4 linked regions of the Saccharomyces cerevisiae S288C genome follow. The gene in region 1 interacts genetically with each later gene. Each region holds a gene or a part of one and is shown on either strand. Other genes may lie near its edges.

Region 1 (5,491 bases):
GTAGAGGGCCGCCTGCTATGTGAAATGGCTGGCGTAGCATTGTACCAGGACAGGCTCTTCTTACCCGCGCAGTTCCTCCAGCACTACCAGGCGATGAATCGCGATCGTCGCACCAGCCCAGAAGATGAACTGATTGAGTATGAGCTTAGACGGATTAAAGTCGAAGCGTTTGCGCGTGGCACAATGCACTCCACGGCGCTCAGGGAAAAGTGGAAGGTATTCTTGCAGGAGATGGATACGCTACCAGGGCAGCCGCCATTAAGGCTGCGCGACTTCCCGCAAATGACCAAGGCTATGGGCATAGCATTGATGCAGCAAGATGAGCAAGCAGCTGCCCTGGCGTTGTTTGGACGACAGCCCCTAGTGATAAAGAACGAATGGTCACTACCGCTACTACTGGCTGGTGTCCTTTGGCATGTTCCCGGCCCAGCGCAGGCGCGACGTGTGCTGGCGGAGTTCCGTCAAAGTTATCGCGGGCTGCCGCTGCTGGATGCCGAACTAGTGATAAAGAGAAGAGGATTTGAAATCAACACATAAATCTGGGTGGAGCATCGCTGTAACAAGGAACAACGCGTGCTAGCAAGCGGTAATGAAATACAAGGAAATCAATTTCTTCAAGGGCCATCCGAGCTCGAGGTTGCTGCCTCGAGAAGCAGTAATTCAAGCGACTGCGGCTATATTGGGGCCCGAGACCAGGGAGTACGATAACGACCCCTATAACAGGCATCCGCTGACGTACGGTTCGGACGAAGGTGCCCTGTGGGTGCGAGAGCAGATTTGTACGTTTCTGAATGATCAGCTGTTTAAGTTCGAAAATGGGGCTCGGAGCAGGACACGGGCAGACTATTTGAATCTGAATAGCGGCGCTTCGTATGGCATGCTGAACATCCTTCTGCAAACAACCTTGCCACATAACGGGTATACCAGGCAGGCGTTCATCATCACGCCAACATATTTCTTGATCAACAATTGCTTCACAGATGCGGGATTCAAGGGGAAAATGACCGCCATCAACGAGCAGGGCCACGACTCGATTGATTTCGAGTCGTTGATTTCTGCCCTTGAGCAGCACGAGGCGGAGCCGCAGCCCCATAGTACCACAGAGATGATTCAGGGGCCAAAGTTGACCAAGAAGGTCTACAGGTACGTTATGTACTGCATCCCGACGTTTGCAAACCCATCGGGAAACACATACTCGCTTGAGACCAGACGCAGACTTATCGACATCGCTCGGAAGTACGACATGCTGATAATCACTGATGACGTGTACGATATTCTAGATTACACGACGCCCTCAGATGAGCTGCCCTCTCCGCCCCTAAGGATGGTGCACATAGACAGAAGTACAGCGCCCTCCGGTGAGGACTCGTTCGGGAATACAGTGTCCAACGCAACTTTCTCCAAGCTGATCGCCCCTGGGCTCAGATTTGGATACCATGAGTCAATCAACGCGAATCTCGCCAGACAGCTATCTAAAGGTGGTGCAAACGTCTCTGGCGGAACTCCCTCACAACTGAACTCCATGATCGTGGGTGAGATGCTGCGTAGTGGTGCCGCCCAGAGATGCATTGCACATCTGAGATCCGTATACTCCGAGAGGGCCACTGTCTTGACCTCGGCGCTTAAGAAATACATGCCCCTAGGAACCGAGATTATGCCATTGAAGGGCGGCTATTTTACTTGGATCACTCTCCCACCAGCGTACAATGCCATGGAGATATCCACTATTCTTGCCAAGAAATTTAATGTCATCCTTGCCGACGGCTCCAATTTCGAGGTCATCGGCGATGAGAAAAACTGGGGTCAGTCATGCTTTAGGCTTTCTATTAGTTTCTTAGAAGTTGATGATATCGACAGGGGCATTGAGCTGTTTGGTGCTGTTTGCAAATCTCATGCGATCACCAATAACATAACTATGTAGAAGGAATACGTATATAGGTGAACGGTAATAAGAGGGTAATTTTTCTACGGGCAAAGGCAAGGAAGAAAAAGAAAAAGAAGGAAAAAAATATAATGTGATAAAACAAACAAGCAGCGAAAAAGCGAAAGGGAAGAGAAGTGTTTCTAGAGAAGAAAGTCATTTTAATAGTAAGTCAGACTCGTCTGCTACCATCATCCAGGTACCGCTTTCCTTTCCATCATCATTAAAAAAAATGAACATGCAAGACGCTAACAAAGAAGAGTCGTACTCGATGTACCCGAAAACCTCTTCTCCACCACCACCTACGCCAACCAATATGCAGATTCCTATTTATCAAGCGCCTTTGCAGATGTACGGCTACACTCAGGCCCCATATCTATACCCCACACAAATACCTGCCTATTCGTTTAATATGGTCAACCAAAACCAGCCAATCTACCATCAAAGTGGCAGCCCACATCACTTGCCTCCGCAAAACAATATTAACGGCGGAAGCACTACCAATAACAACAACATTAACAAGAAGAAGTGGCACTCTAATGGCATTACCAATAACAATGGAAGCAGCGGTAATCAAGGCGCCAACTCTAGCGGTAGCGGCATGAGCTACAACAAATCCCACACCTACCATCACAATTACTCTAACAATCATATCCCCATGATGGCCTCTCCAAACAGTGGCAGCAATGCGGGCATGAAAAAACAGACCAACTCTTCCAACGGCAACGGTTCTTCGGCTACTTCACCATCGTACTCTTCCTACAACTCTTCTTCACAGTATGATTTATACAAGTTTGATGTCACTAAATTAAAGAATCTCAAGGAAAATTCATCAAACTTGATTCAATTGCCACTGTTCATAAACACTACGGAAGCAGAATTTGCTGCGGCAAGTGTCCAAAGGTACGAATTAAACATGAAGGCTTTGAACCTAAACTCTGAAAGCTTAGAGAACTCATCTGTAGAAAAGAGCTCTGCCCATCATCACACAAAAAGCCATAGTATACCAAAGCATAATGAGGAAGTAAAGACAGAAACACATGGGGAAGAAGAAGATGCTCATGATAAAAAACCACATGCGAGCAAAGATGCGCACGAGCTTAAAAAGAAAACTGAAGTAAAGAAAGAGGATGCTAAGCAAGACCGTAACGAAAAAGTTATACAGGAACCTCAAGCTACTGTTTTACCTGTAGTGGATAAGAAGGAACCAGAGGAATCTGTTGAAGAAAATACTTCCAAGACATCTTCACCTTCACCATCTCCTCCAGCAGCAAAATCCTGGTCCGCCATAGCATCAGATGCGATTAAAAGTAGACAAGCTAGTAACAAAACAGTCTCCGGATCGATGGTCACTAAAACACCAATTTCTGGTACGACCGCAGGCGTTTCATCAACAAACATGGCTGCGGCGACTATAGGTAAATCCAGCTCTCCCCTGTTGTCCAAGCAGCCTCAGAAAAAGGATAAAAAATACGTTCCACCTTCTACAAAGGGTATTGAGCCACTGGGTTCGATTGCGTTAAGAATGTGTTTTGATCCCGATTTCATTAGTTACGTTTTACGGAATAAAGATGTTGAAAACAAAATACCAGTCCATTCCATTATTCCAAGAGGCATAATTAACAGAGCCAACATTTGTTTTATGAGTTCTGTGTTACAAGTGTTACTCTACTGTAAGCCATTTATTGATGTAATTAACGTTCTCAGTACACGGAATACCAATTCAAGAGTCGGCACATCATCCTGTAAATTATTAGATGCTTGTTTGACTATGTATAAGCAATTCGATAAGGAAACCTATGAGAAAAAATTCCTAGAGAATGCTGATGATGCTGAAAAAACCACGGAAAGTGATGCAAAAAAATCATCAAAATCCAAGAGTTTCCAACACTGCGCCACTGCCGATGCTGTCAAACCTGACGAATTTTACAAAACTTTGTCTACTATACCGAAGTTCAAAGACTTGCAATGGGGCCATCAGGAAGACGCAGAAGAATTTTTGACCCACTTATTGGACCAATTACACGAGGAATTAATTTCTGCAATTGATGGCTTAACCGATAATGAAATTCAAAATATGCTGCAAAGTATTAATGATGAACAATTGAAAGTTTTCTTTATTAGAAATTTGTCACGTTATGGAAAAGCAGAGTTTATCAAAAATGCTAGTCCTAGACTGAAGGAGTTGATAGAAAAATATGGCGTGATCAATGATGACTCTACCGAAGAAAATGGTTGGCATGAAGTGAGCGGATCTAGCAAAAGAGGCAAGAAAACTAAGACCGCTGCCAAGAGGACTGTCGAGATTGTTCCATCACCAATCTCCAAACTTTTCGGTGGCCAGTTCAGATCTGTGTTAGATATACCGAACAATAAGGAATCTCAATCGATTACACTCGATCCGTTCCAAACAATTCAATTGGACATTTCAGATGCTGGTGTGAATGATCTAGAAACTGCATTCAAAAAATTTAGTGAATACGAATTGCTACCCTTTAAGTCCTCGTCAGGGAATGATGTCGAGGCCAAGAAGCAGACTTTTATTGATAAATTGCCGCAAGTTCTTTTAATCCAATTCAAAAGATTCTCATTCATAAATAATGTGAACAAAGACAACGCAATGACGAACTATAACGCGTACAATGGACGTATTGAGAAGATCAGGAAAAAAATTAAATATGGTCACGAGTTAATCATACCTGAAGAATCAATGTCTTCCATAACATTGAAAAACAACACCTCAGGGATTGATGATAGAAGATATAAGCTAACCGGAGTTATATACCATCATGGGGTAAGTTCCGATGGCGGTCATTACACAGCGGATGTTTATCATAGCGAGCACAACAAATGGTATAGAATAGATGATGTAAATATTACCGAACTAGAGGACGATGACGTTTTGAAAGGTGGCGAAGAAGCTTCTGATTCGAGGACTGCCTATATTTTAATGTATCAAAAGAGAAATTAAGACGGGGGGTGGTATTATAGACAAAATACATAAAAAATAATATAGCAATAATACAATACAATACAATACAATACGATAGTGAGCACGATTTTAAAAAAGAAATAGAGACAGACAGAGAAACAGAGTTACACTTTATGCTTGGCATATTTAAAAAATGATTTCGCCCAGGATCGAACTGGGGACGTTCTGCGTGTTAAGCAGATGCCATAACCGACTAGACCACGAAACCAATTATTTCTTGGAGATGAACATTTAAGAAACAAATACCTTGTAGAAGGAATGTGAATTTCAAAATATTATGGCCTTTGGCAACAATGGAATCACAACAATTATCACAAAACTCATACATCTCTTAAGATTCATTTCTTACTTTAAGTAATCATCCAAATTTAGCCAAAGTTTGATTTTACCTAAAAAAAGCAGAGGATTCCCGATTTCAATCATATGTGCACAGACGATGAGTCCAACACGTTATCGTTAACATAGTGCTCAATATTGCCACTGCGCTTCGCAGGAGCATATTTCGTATACGCCAAGCCCAAGGAGGGTTTTGTCATTAAGCAGCTTACGCCAATTAAGTGCTAACCTCGAAGCACCAT
Region 2 (5,196 bases), on another chromosome or scaffold:
GAAAAAAACAATGGAGGGGAAAATAGTCGCACTCTACGGTGTCAAGTGTGGTGTGCAGATGGTCGCCTCGTTGTTGTAAATTGGGCTTTCGATGCTAAGACGTCCCTCTACACGGCCACTGTTATCTCCTAACGCCGCTTCGAGGCGGGTGAGCATAGGTTATTGCCTGATGAGTAATTTCTTAGCGAGAATTGATAAAAAAAAGCAAGGCTATTATTAATATACGTGCTATTGTGAAATTTTCATTGGCGTATATATGTGAGGTGAATGTAAATATCTCCAACAAAAAGCAGAAGGCTAAAAAAAAGGAAAGGAAAAGAAGAAAAGGCAACGTCGAAAATGTTTACACCAATTGATCAAGCTATAGAACACTTCAAGCAGAATAAGTTTGTAATTGTTATGGACGATGCCGGTCGTGAAAATGAAGGTGATCTTATTTGCGCTGCTGAAAATGTCAGCACTGAACAAATGGCCTTTCTTGTACGCCATTCCTCAGGCTACGTCTGTGCACCTATGACGAATGCCATTGCTGATAAGTTGGACCTTCCACTACTGAGAACAGGCATGAAGTTTGAATCCAATGATGACGACAGGCATGGAACTGCATACACAATAACTGTAGATGTAGCCCAAGGCACTACCACAGGTATTTCTGCTCACGACAGGTCGATGACTTGTAGGGCTCTTGCAGACTCTTCCTCTACGCCAAAATCATTTTTAAAACCAGGGCACATCTGTCCCTTGAGAGCCGCTGATGGCGGTGTTTTGCAGAGAAGAGGCCACACTGAGGCCGGTGTCGATTTGTGTAAACTAAGTGGACTAAGTCCCGTCGCTGTTATTGGCGAATTGGTTAACGATGACGAACAAGGAACTATGATGAGATTAAATGACTGCCAAGCGTTTGGTAAGAAACATGGCATTCCTTTGATCTCCATCGAAGAATTGGCCCAATATTTGAAGAAATAATCTGGTGAACATTTTCTCCATTCATTCTATCACAACAGACTCACACATATATACATGTATATATTTGTAACTTTGTATATATCTTTTGTTTTTTGACCTTTTTCTTCCTCTATGTTTTTCAGCCATACAAAAATATGGGATTTTTAGCAAGAGAAAAAGTACATCTAAAAAAAGTAGTAATAGGAGGAAGCCAAGATTGGTTGAAACACAGTTATAAACTCTTCAAGGCAATTATGAACAGGATTTTCGGATATGGGAACAAAAAGAGCCATGATCAGCTCTTACAAGAGTCGAATCAGTCCATGAATCAGGCCCAACAATCACTATCGAACAGAATATCCCAGTTAGATACTCAAATCGCCCAGTTAAACTTCCAGCTGCAAAATATTCAAAAGAATTTGCAAAGATCAAACAACAAGCAACCCTCGTTAAGAAAACAGGCTTTGAAGATTTTAAATAAACGTAAACAGTTAGAAAATATGAAGGATTCTTTAGATTCTCAATCCTGGTCCATGACGCAAGCCCAGTTAACAAATGATAACTTACAGAACACAATGATCACTATAAACGCACTAAAGCAAACAAACAATGCCATGAAGGCTCAATACGGCAAGATAAATATCGACAAACTACAGGACATGCAGGATGAGATGCTGGATTTAATAGAACAAGGGGATGAGCTGCAAGAAGTCTTGGCAATGAATAATAACAGTGGCGAGCTCGACGACATTAGTGATGCAGAGCTGGATGCAGAGCTGGATGCTCTGGCACAAGAGGATTTCACTTTGCCAACCAGCGAAAACTCATTAGGTAACGATATGCCCAGTTACTTACTAGGTGCGAATGCGCCACCGGCTTTTATTGATGAAGAGCCAAACTTAGATACTGAAGACAAAAATAAAGCTTTAGAAAGCGCTCAGTGAAAACAAAAAGCACACAAAGTTGCATATTCAGAATTTTTCTCTCCTTTCCCTTTTCTTTATATTCTCTTTGCTGGTAAGCCAAAATATGTACCTTATTTAGGTTTTAGTAGTTTTCTTTTTTCTTTGTTAAAAAAATCCTGATGGAAAAAACAGTAAGCAGAAAGCACCATGTAGTCTAATGAATACAAATAGAAGTGAAACCGAAGCAAATTCACAGTGCACGATGAGTGATGAAGGTGCTGATAAAAGTCTAGATACTAACACAGAATTTATTATACAAACACGATCTAGGAGGTCTAATGCCGGTAATAAATTACAAAAACTATTGGAGCAGGAGCTAAGAGATATAGAATCTACCAAAAGACAAATTTCTTCCTATAAGAATGGTAATGATGATGAAGAAGATGAAATAGGGCTGTTGTTTCAGGAAGATGAAGATGATGAAGATTTCGAAATGATGGCAAAAGATGACGATGATGAAGGGGAAGAAAAAGAAGATGAGACTCAAAGTATAAGGAAAGAGCCCTCTCAGGCTTCAAGTGAGCAAGCAGCCGATGACTTAATGTTCAGCAGTAGCGAATCTGAGGACTCCAGCAACGAGAATGATGAAGATGCAGAGGAAAAGGAAATACGAAGACAAGAACTACTTTCAAGAAAGAAAAGAAACAAGAGATTACAGAAGGGTCCCGTTGTAATCAAAAAACAAAAACCTAAGCCTAAGTCAGGAGAAGCTATACCAAGATCGCACCATACCCATGAACAATTAAACGCAGAGACGTTACTATTAAATACAAGGAGAACTTCTAAAAGATCATCGGTAATGGAAAACACGATGAAAGTTTATGAGAAATTGTCTAAAGCTGAAAAAAAGAGAAAAATTATACAAGAAAGAATAAGGAAACACAAGGAGCAGGAGTCTCAGCATATGCTGACACAAGAAGAGAGGCTACGGATTGCCAAGGAGACTGAGAAGCTGAATATTTTGTCACTGGATAAGTTCAAGGAACAAGAAGTTTGGAAAAAGGAGAATCGTCTAGCTTTGCAGAAAAGACAAAAGCAGAAATTCCAGCCAAATGAGACTATACTGCAATTTTTATCTACTGCTTGGCTAATGACGCCAGCGATGGAGTTAGAAGATCGTAAATATTGGCAGGAACAATTGAATAAACGTGATAAGAAGAAGAAAAAATATCCGAGGAAGCCAAAGAAGAATTTAAATCTCGGAAAACAGGACGCATCAGATGATAAAAAGCGGGAGAGTGAAGAATCGATAAAGAACGATGGCGACGTGAATTCTTTGGGTGAGAATTCTTCATCTGTACACAACCAGAAAAGGATTGAGGAAACTTCTACTAACGATACAGTTGAAGGAGAATCGAGTCCAGATGCAGCGGTGAGTAGAGTAAATTCAGACGAATTAAAGCCAACAGCATTACCTGATGTTACATTGGACGCAATTGCAAACAAGCAGAGTACCGTTGATGAAGCTCCCAACAGCCAACCACAAAAGAATATAATAACTAATGAGCAAAAAATTACCAATGTAGGCGAACCGATACAAAATTTACATAATGAAGAAATTAAAGATGAAATGGTAAGTGCTCTCGAGAGCAGGGAAAATACTTTTGAAAACTCATCACCTGCTGCCCAAGTGGTCTCACAAAGGGATAATTCTGCAACACCTACACCATCAAACTCCACTGGCACTGAAGATACTATATTGATCTCTCCGGATACGGATATAAAAGGAGAGCCTGAACCTTGTCTGAAAACCGAAGGCATCGAGAACTTATCTCATAATGTACCACAAGAGACCAAAAGCAATACTGATGTTTCTTTCTTGAAACAAGTAACGTTTACCGACCATCCGCAAGTGGCCATAATCGATACTGAAGAGTCACCCTCAAAAAAAGATACAGCTAATGTTGATGAATCTTCCGCGGAAAACTCTTTATCAACACAGACCTACGAAGGGCCTGAGCAATTAACCTCAAGGAACTTTGTTACACTTTATGATTTTCCTAATGCTCCTCCAAATCTAAAAGATTTTAACACAAACTTATTTGGTGATCGATGGTCATACACAAATGGGTTATCCGCCACTCAGCGTCCACAAGATATGAAAACTGTTTTCCACTCCATTTTACCATCACCTCCTCAGTCTTCAGTACCGTCTCCTACCGTAGATATATCACTTGATCTGTCAGCTCTGGCAAATTTCCCATCTTTTGGGGAATACGATAAGAAAATAGTCCATCAAATCAACACAGAGATAAATAAGGATTTGGAAATCAAAATTAAAACACAGCCTCCAACGGGTGTCTTCTTAGCCAATGGTATAAGAAAAAAATGTTTAATCACAAATAAAGAATGTCAGTACTTTGATCCAAGGACTGGTGTGCCTTATTCTGATGTGGAAGCTTATAAAATTATTCAGCGGATTCAAGATCCTATTTCTAAGGAGGAGGGAAGGTCAGATATCAAGCGTGATGAAACGACAAATGAGGATAGTGACGATCAAGTGAGATTCAAGTGGTTTGGGTTCAAAAACGGCGGTATTTACCTTGATTTAAGTCAAAGACCTGCAAAAGGTGTTCCTGAAGGATTTTAATTGAGACAGACTATATAATGGTAGGTCGTTAAACATTTGACTATATTCCACACAAAATAAGAAATCATAAAGATCATTTTACATAAAAATATACTTTATACGCTCCATGTCTTATACAATCGTTACATTCATCAATTTCTGGTGAAAGCTTCAACTAAAGTTTTGAAATGATTTTCGGTCTCTCTGATTATTAGTGGTACGCTTGAATCATTATCGTCGTCATTCGCAACTTTCGTACCAACATTTTCAGCAGAATCAAAATTGTAGTTTTGTGCATCCGAGTCATTTATATTTAAATGTAGATGCAATTGCTGTAGGTTATTGTATAAATACATGTAATTTGTAGCCAGAAATCTTTCTGGTGATTTCGTCTTTTTACTGCACTTTGTCATGACTGTTTCGAAATCATTTCTTAATCTAATGATGGAATTGTATAAGGGTTCAGATCTTTCGTCTATGGACTGCTTATGTGTTATTGCCAACGTCAAGAAGCTTGATAAAAATTTACCGAACTGTACAGTTAACTCATGAGGTGAGGTCAAAGGGCTACTATTGGATGTGCTTGAGTTGCCGGCATATTTTGCCACATTTGTAGTTATTGCCGCTTTTCGTAAGCTCTCGCATTGAAAATCGACCAATTGCTGAAATCGAGGCCATAATTGAATTAATTGACCATTCAAGAAACTATCAAACATA
Region 3 (3,184 bases), on another chromosome or scaffold:
AGCATTAGAGATATGATCCCACCTTTTGGCTGTTTTGAATATATTAATGCCGCCGGGGGTAACAATAGAATCTGACAAATCCCAAATAGAATCGTCGTTCTGCATATTATTAAGAATGTCTTGCACGGATGTCCAATTGTTCAAGGCTAATGTACCAACTAGCCAGTTGCCGCCCGAGGCACCAGATAAATATGTTGTGCTTTGTAAAAGTCCACCCAGCCCATGCTCATAAGCACCTTCAGTTCTGTTATCCATTGCTGCTAGAACACCCGCACCTGTTAGCATGGACCGATAGCCCCCACCTGAAACGGCGACAGCAATTTTCGGCAGGTTTTCGCTGTTGCCATCATTAAATAGCTTCGACAAAACTTCTGAGCTATCTGAAAAATTTGCAGTAGCCCTAGTCAAGAAATCTTTTAAAGCTACACTAGTGACTTTATTCCTCTTTTCCAACCATGCGCTCTCATTCTGAGATATAGACGTAGCCTCTCTTACCAGATTTATGTCATCGGGACACGACACGGTGCCAGGAACATAACTATCTGTGGGCGACCACGCATTAGCGGCCAGTAGAAACTGAGAAATTGCGAATATGTAACTGATAATAATTTTTGAACATAATGGACGTATCATTACTTATATTATTATGTGTGTAATTTCCTTGCTTTTAGTCCTCTTAAAACGGCGTATTCCAAGCTGAAAAGTGAAATATTAGAACTCGTAAAACCACGTATAACTTATATAAAAGTGGATGAAAAGCGTAACAATAACATAGTAGTGTGGTAATAATGGTGATAGAATCCCTGCAAGTCTGGATCTTGCAAAAGAAGTGCCAAATTGAGTAATTCCATAGCCAAGCCATCTTAAAAGCAGGGAAAAAGAAAGAAGAGAAAAAGGCTCATTGCACAGAAGAACCAGTACAACATTCGCGGAACCGGCAAGATATTTTCGTGGAGGACTAAAGCGAAACGAAAACGGATGAAGTTGCGGTATTTCCTGATTTGGAAGTTCTATGGGGCGTCCACCGGTTTCAAAAAAAAAGGAAAAATGATTTGCGTTTTAGTCATTGAGAACGAAAGGAGGAATTGGATTACGCGGGCAGTAATATGGTGCGCGATGCTGGCGTATTAACGCGAGATGAAGGAGGCTGAAGTCAGGAAAACTCATGTGAGTGTGACGTTACCGATGACATTATGGACACTTTTAAATGGTCATGTGACGCGGTATCACAGGAGGCAAACAACTGTACTCAGCAATTTCCCGATCACCTACTAACTGCGCTCTCTTCGCCTGGTATGCTCTTTTTGCAACGCACAAAGCTTCGTATAGTATTCATTATACGATTATTAGGAGTGCTGATGACTATCGTCTGTATTCTCTGAAGTGTTTGCCGCTGTTGTGTCTTGCCTTGCAACAGCGTATGTTTACCGTTTTATATATTGCGTGGCGCGCACCCGGTGATAAGAAACATCCATGTGATAAAACTCCGCACGTTGCTTGATTAATTAACCTCGGAGGTGTTACCCGCAATCAATATGTCTGCCAGCCGCCCGCCCGCCCCGGAGAAAAGAGCTTAGGACAAGAATCACTGTCTCTTACCTTGGAATCAGGGCAGGTCCGCACAAGCGGTAGTAAGCACATACCTAAAATAGCAGTATTCTTCTTTCTTTAGAGAACGTTAGACTCAATTGAAAAGGTTTACTGAATGCATCCATGCTAGATTAGCACACAGTAACTTTACGCCCGTAACTTACTACTCGTAGAACTGGCCGCTGGTGTTCCGTAACCCGCCGCGCTCGCTCCGTGCACGAAAACAACAAAACAAAAAAAACAACAAATAAAGCATACAGCTCTATTTAACAGCTGAACTATTATCCAGTGTAATAGAGTCACAACCCCCAACTAAAAAACACTGCGGACTCTATTATACTTCAGTCGGAAAAAATATCGTTAAATTCAATTTCGCACTATAGCCGCACGTAAAAATAACTTAACATAATGTCAGGAAAAGCTCATGGAGGTAAAGGTAAATCCGGCGCTAAAGACAGTGGTTCATTGAGATCTCAATCTTCTTCAGCAAGGGCTGGCTTGCAGTTTCCTGTCGGTAGGATTAAGCGTTACCTGAAAAGGCACGCTACCGGCCGAACAAGAGTAGGATCCAAAGCTGCCATTTATTTGACTGCTGTGTTGGAATATTTGACTGCTGAAGTGCTGGAGTTGGCTGGTAATGCAGCCAAGGATCTTAAAGTCAAGAGGATTACCCCAAGACATCTGCAATTGGCCATTAGAGGTGACGATGAGTTAGATTCTTTGATCAGGGCTACAATTGCTTCAGGTGGTGTTTTGCCTCATATAAATAAAGCATTATTATTGAAAGTGGAAAAAAAGGGAAGTAAGAAATAAGAAGAATAGTTTTTCTTTCCCATTTCCCGTAATTCTCCCTGCTCCTGTATCCTCATTCTATCCATATTAACGTCTGTATCATTATTATAAGTTGAAATTTGTCTCTCCGTACCCGAGTTATATACATACATATATGTAATCTATCTCTCCTTTCACGTCTAATCTCTTATGTTTTTACTATAATATATAGCATGAAAATATACTCTCACACAATATTCCCAACGATAGCGCAGTAGCCGTTATGTACGCAGAAATTTGGTCAGGGCTTTCTTTTTGTTGAACTTTGCATACCCGGAAAAATGGAAATTAAGGACACCTACAAAAGTACACTGTAGAAATCAAATCAAAGAAAAGGTTTAATAGACGATAAATTTCCATACGTGCCGACAGGACAAAAAAAAAACCCCCCTACCATTTCTAATAACAGCTTCACCACTAGTTATACTGTCGACTTTCTACCGATTTGTTGGTTCCTTTTTATAACCAGAAAATCATCTATCAATTGCAATTTGTAAGAGAAGGGGAGAAAGACAAAATAATAATATGGTGCCAGAAAATAGAAGGAAACAGTTGGCAATTTTTGTAGTTGTCACATATTTGCTCACATTTTATTGCGTGTATTCAGCCACCAAGACAAGCGTTTCCTTTTTGCAAGTAACACTGAAGCTAAATGAAGGCTTCAATCTAATGGTTTTGTCGATATTCATCTTATTAAATTCTACCTTACTATGGCAACTCCTAACGAAACTATTATTTGGTGAACTGAGGCTTATTGAGCATG
Region 4 (3,071 bases), on another chromosome or scaffold:
TGAGGAAATGAACCATAACGAGTATTGAATACCTCTTCGGAATGCATCCTTACCGGTTTGATGTTATCTCTAGAAACCCATATTAGAGTTAAATCGCCTTCCTTGATGAGGTCTTTGTAACCGGAAAAACAATTTGTTGACATTTCTAAATCTGCGTAATCTTAGCTACCTGATAGTCCCACCCCGATCTTATTCACATATATTTTCTATATACTTTAAACAGTTTTAAAAGTGATGAGCATGGAAAAAAATTCGTTGCTAACGGCATGGCATAAACAAAAAGCGAAAAAATTTTATAGATAATAATAAAGAAAAAGTATCAATAGCATGAGTGTTAATGTTATAACGAAGTGTAAGAGGAAAAAGAATGCTGCGCAAATACGTTACTTCATAAAAAAACTCAAGTACTGTATATATTTTACATTTAAATATATTAATTTATATACAAATACGGCCTCCTCTCTTGCATTTTTTTTATTGTTCCATCTCCAAAGGCAGTTGATTAAGTGTACGGATAGGTAAAACTGAATGTGGAAATTTTTGAGAGTTTACTCCAGGATATATGTTGGTAGTATTGTGTTTTTCTTTCTTAGTACATGTCAGATTTATGGAAATCGTAAACGATACCATGGCGGGCCATTTTTTTACCTTTGTGGGTTTCCTCTTTAAACCTTTTCTCATCATTTTTTTGCTTGGTCAGCCAAGCCTCCTTAAATGGTATGCGTTCCATGGCCTCAAGGGGTTGATCTTCTTTATCGATGTCTACTTCGCCTAACATGACAACATTTTCACCACGAATCATGAATATGCCGCGGTCTTCTTCAGCGTATTTGTTTTCTTCGCTAAAATATATTCTCTCCACGCAATCTTGAAGTATCAAATTTGCATATTGGTCAAAGGTTCTTAGTACACCGAATAGCATTCTTCCATCACGCAAAAGAACGAAGATTTTACGGTCTACTGAGCTTACAATAGCAGCGGTGGTAGTGAAGTTATACTGGTCGAGATATAAATCGGCCTCACCTTCTGAAATCTTCTTTGGGAAATTCTGCTGTTGTCGCTTCGCATCCTGATTGGACTGATTTCTGTCCTTGCTATTTGCAGACATTTTTGGTGAATTAATTCGATTCGAGGGCTGCTTTCTTTTATAGGTTTTGAAAGCGGAGCAAATGTTGGTATAACTCTACTGCAGCGTTGGCAATCCTGTTGAAAAGGAAAAGAAAATATAACTAAACTGTGTTACTTGTATCTTCACTAATATTTAATCAGCCCTTGGTCATACAGGCTTCCCCTAGATTGAAATACAGGTGCTGAACACCGTTGTATATTCACGACTTCCTCTATTTTTTTCATATTTTCCATTATTCAACGAACGCGGGTAACAAGTCGGCCGAATTTGAACCCACTCCTCTGCGCTTGTAACTTTATACATCATCGTTACGCTATAAATGTTATGTATTAAGTGTATCAAAGACCCATACGGTCAATGACATAATTCTGTGCCATGACCCCAAATGACAAGCTTAATCCATCTTCGATCCATTCCTTTACCCATTCACTAGGATCAATGATCTCATCGTCTTCGTCTTCGTCTTCACTTTCTTTTTGTTTCTTTTGATCGTATGACTTATTCCTCTCCTCACTTGCTGTTGATCCTGTTTTCTCCACGGATCCTTCTAGCCAATTGACCCATTTGACAGGGAATCCTTGTGATCTTGTTATGGTGGTAATATCGTTAGTTATGTCTTTCAATACAAGGGTGAAATTGAAATTGCCTGGCGTATTGGAGTCGGTCACTTGAAAGTCACCGTCGGCATCTTTTTGTTTTTGCGGAATGGCAATTGGTAAGATGGATATGAATAAATCACTGATTTTATTGCTGTTACTGCTAATAGAACTCCTATCGTCATCTGGAGTGGCATCAGCCTCTTTCTGTTGTTTCTGGTATTCCTCATGTGCAGTATTGAAGAGTTTGACTGCATTTTCCAGGTTTGCAAATGCCAGTTTCTCACCGTCTGTTACCTTGCCGTCGAATAGATTAAACTGTAATTTTTTTTTAGAGTTGCCTAACTCACCGTCTGCAACTGAAGGCTTTTTTTCCACAGGTGTAATTCCATTATTGTTAGGATGGCCCCATTCATCTACAAATATTCTGATTCCTCCCTCAACTTGTGAGCTTAGAACTTGATCAAACTTGCTTTCAATATTGTATTGTAATGAGGGATAGTTAACCAAATCATGGACTAGATGAATTCGCAGCACCTCTTCAGTCTCACCAACAACGATTTTCTGTAAGTTTCTGGCTATTTCAGTAATCGTGCTCGTGTTTATCTTTGAAGTCAAATCAAGCTGTTCTTGGGCAAGTCGGTTTTTGATCTGGGATGCTTGTTCTGCAGTTTTATTCCAAATACTCGATACCTTTGCGGATCCAGAGGAGGACCACCAGTTTGAAATAGAAGCAATTGGGTCATGCAATGGGGTCTCCTCCTCCTCCTCTTCTTCTTCTTCTTCTTCCTCCTCTTCTTCTTCTTTCTCCTGCTGCTGTGGTTCCTTTTCCTTTCCGTGAGCGTCCTGCTCGGAATTTTTGTTTTCTTTTGATTCTTCTACTTTTTCGTCTTGTGCTTTATTATTAACTGATTCACTGGGAGCCTTCTTTTCAACCCCTTTCTTGTCAGTTAAGCTTAAGTTACTCTTCTCCAACTCTTCTAAGAATTCAAAGATATCATCGTCACCTTTCTTTCCATCATTCCCGGTCTTGCCCGCCACAGAATTAGAACCTCCCTTAACGCCTTCTTGGCTACCCTTTACGTCAGTATTAACCATTTTCCCGCCATTCTTTGCTTCTGGCAAAGAATCTAAAAATTCAAATACGTCTTCAGCCTCAGAGTTCTTATTTTCAGACATTTTGCCCTGGTAGTATGTATGTTTTTAATCGATTGAGTCTAGTTAACCTGTCCCTTGTTCTATTCTTCACCGTCTCGTCCAACTTCCATCAAAGAACCAGAAACCAGAAAATCGCCGGTTTCTTCCACGCGTCAATCCGTTTGGAATGATCTCATCGCAAAATTTTT

Evidence for each region.
Region 2: mutations in UBP3 (region 1) and VPS72 together harm fitness more than expected from each alone (negative genetic interaction), as found in Saccharomyces cerevisiae (7 studies listed by BioGRID, with this or other methods).
Region 3: mutations in UBP3 (region 1) and HTZ1 together harm fitness more than expected from each alone (negative genetic interaction), as found in Saccharomyces cerevisiae (9 studies listed by BioGRID, with this or other methods).
Region 4: mutations in UBP3 (region 1) and LSM1 together harm fitness more than expected from each alone (negative genetic interaction), as found in Saccharomyces cerevisiae (6 studies listed by BioGRID).

Annotation. Positions count from the first base shown.
Region 1 is NC_001137.3:469,087-474,577, reverse strand, and holds UBP3 (mRNA-binding ubiquitin-specific protease UBP3), read left to right. Parts: upstream 1-2,153; coding exon 2,154-4,892; downstream 4,893-5,491. Other genes in the region: PET122 (Pet122p), read left to right, coding at 1-537; YER152C (2-aminoadipate transaminase), read left to right, coding at 590-1,921. UniProt on the Saccharomyces cerevisiae protein: Has an ATP-independent isopeptidase activity, cleaving at the C-terminus of the ubiquitin moiety in natural or engineered linear fusion proteins, irrespective of their size or the presence of an N-terminal extension to ubiquitin.
Region 2 is NC_001136.10:1,424,124-1,429,319, reverse strand, and holds VPS72 (Vps72p), read left to right. Parts: upstream 1-2,112; coding exon 2,113-4,500; downstream 4,501-5,196. Other genes in the region: PAC11 (dynein intermediate chain), read left to right, coding at 1-132; 3,4-dihydroxy-2-butanone-4-phosphate synthase RIB3, read left to right, coding at 340-966; VPS60 (Vps60p), read left to right, coding at 1,200-1,889; VPS52 (Vps52p), read right to left, coding at 4,632-5,196. UniProt on the Saccharomyces cerevisiae protein: Participates in the catalytic exchange of histone H2A for the H2A variant HTZ1, an euchromatin-specific factor, leading to chromatin remodeling and changes in transcription of targeted genes. Indirectly involved in vacuolar protein sorting.
Region 3 is NC_001147.6:302,798-305,981, reverse strand, and holds HTZ1 (histone H2AZ), read left to right. Parts: upstream 1-1,998; coding exon 1,999-2,403; downstream 2,404-3,184. Other genes in the region: PLB3 (lysophospholipase), read right to left, coding at 1-633; E3 ubiquitin-protein ligase HRD1, read left to right, coding at 2,947-3,184. UniProt on the Saccharomyces cerevisiae protein: Variant histone H2A which can replace H2A in some nucleosomes. Nucleosomes wrap and compact DNA into chromatin, limiting DNA accessibility to the cellular machineries which require DNA as a template.
Region 4 is NC_001142.9:186,537-189,607, forward strand, and holds LSM1 (Lsm1p), read right to left. Parts: upstream 1,109-3,071; coding exon 590-1,108; downstream 1-589. Other genes in the region: tRNA 1-methyladenosine methyltransferase subunit GCD14, read right to left, coding at 1-143; DUF5427 domain-containing protein MTC1, read right to left, coding at 1,468-2,904. UniProt on the Saccharomyces cerevisiae protein: Component of the cytoplasmic LSM1-LSM7 complex which is involved in mRNA degradation by activating the decapping step.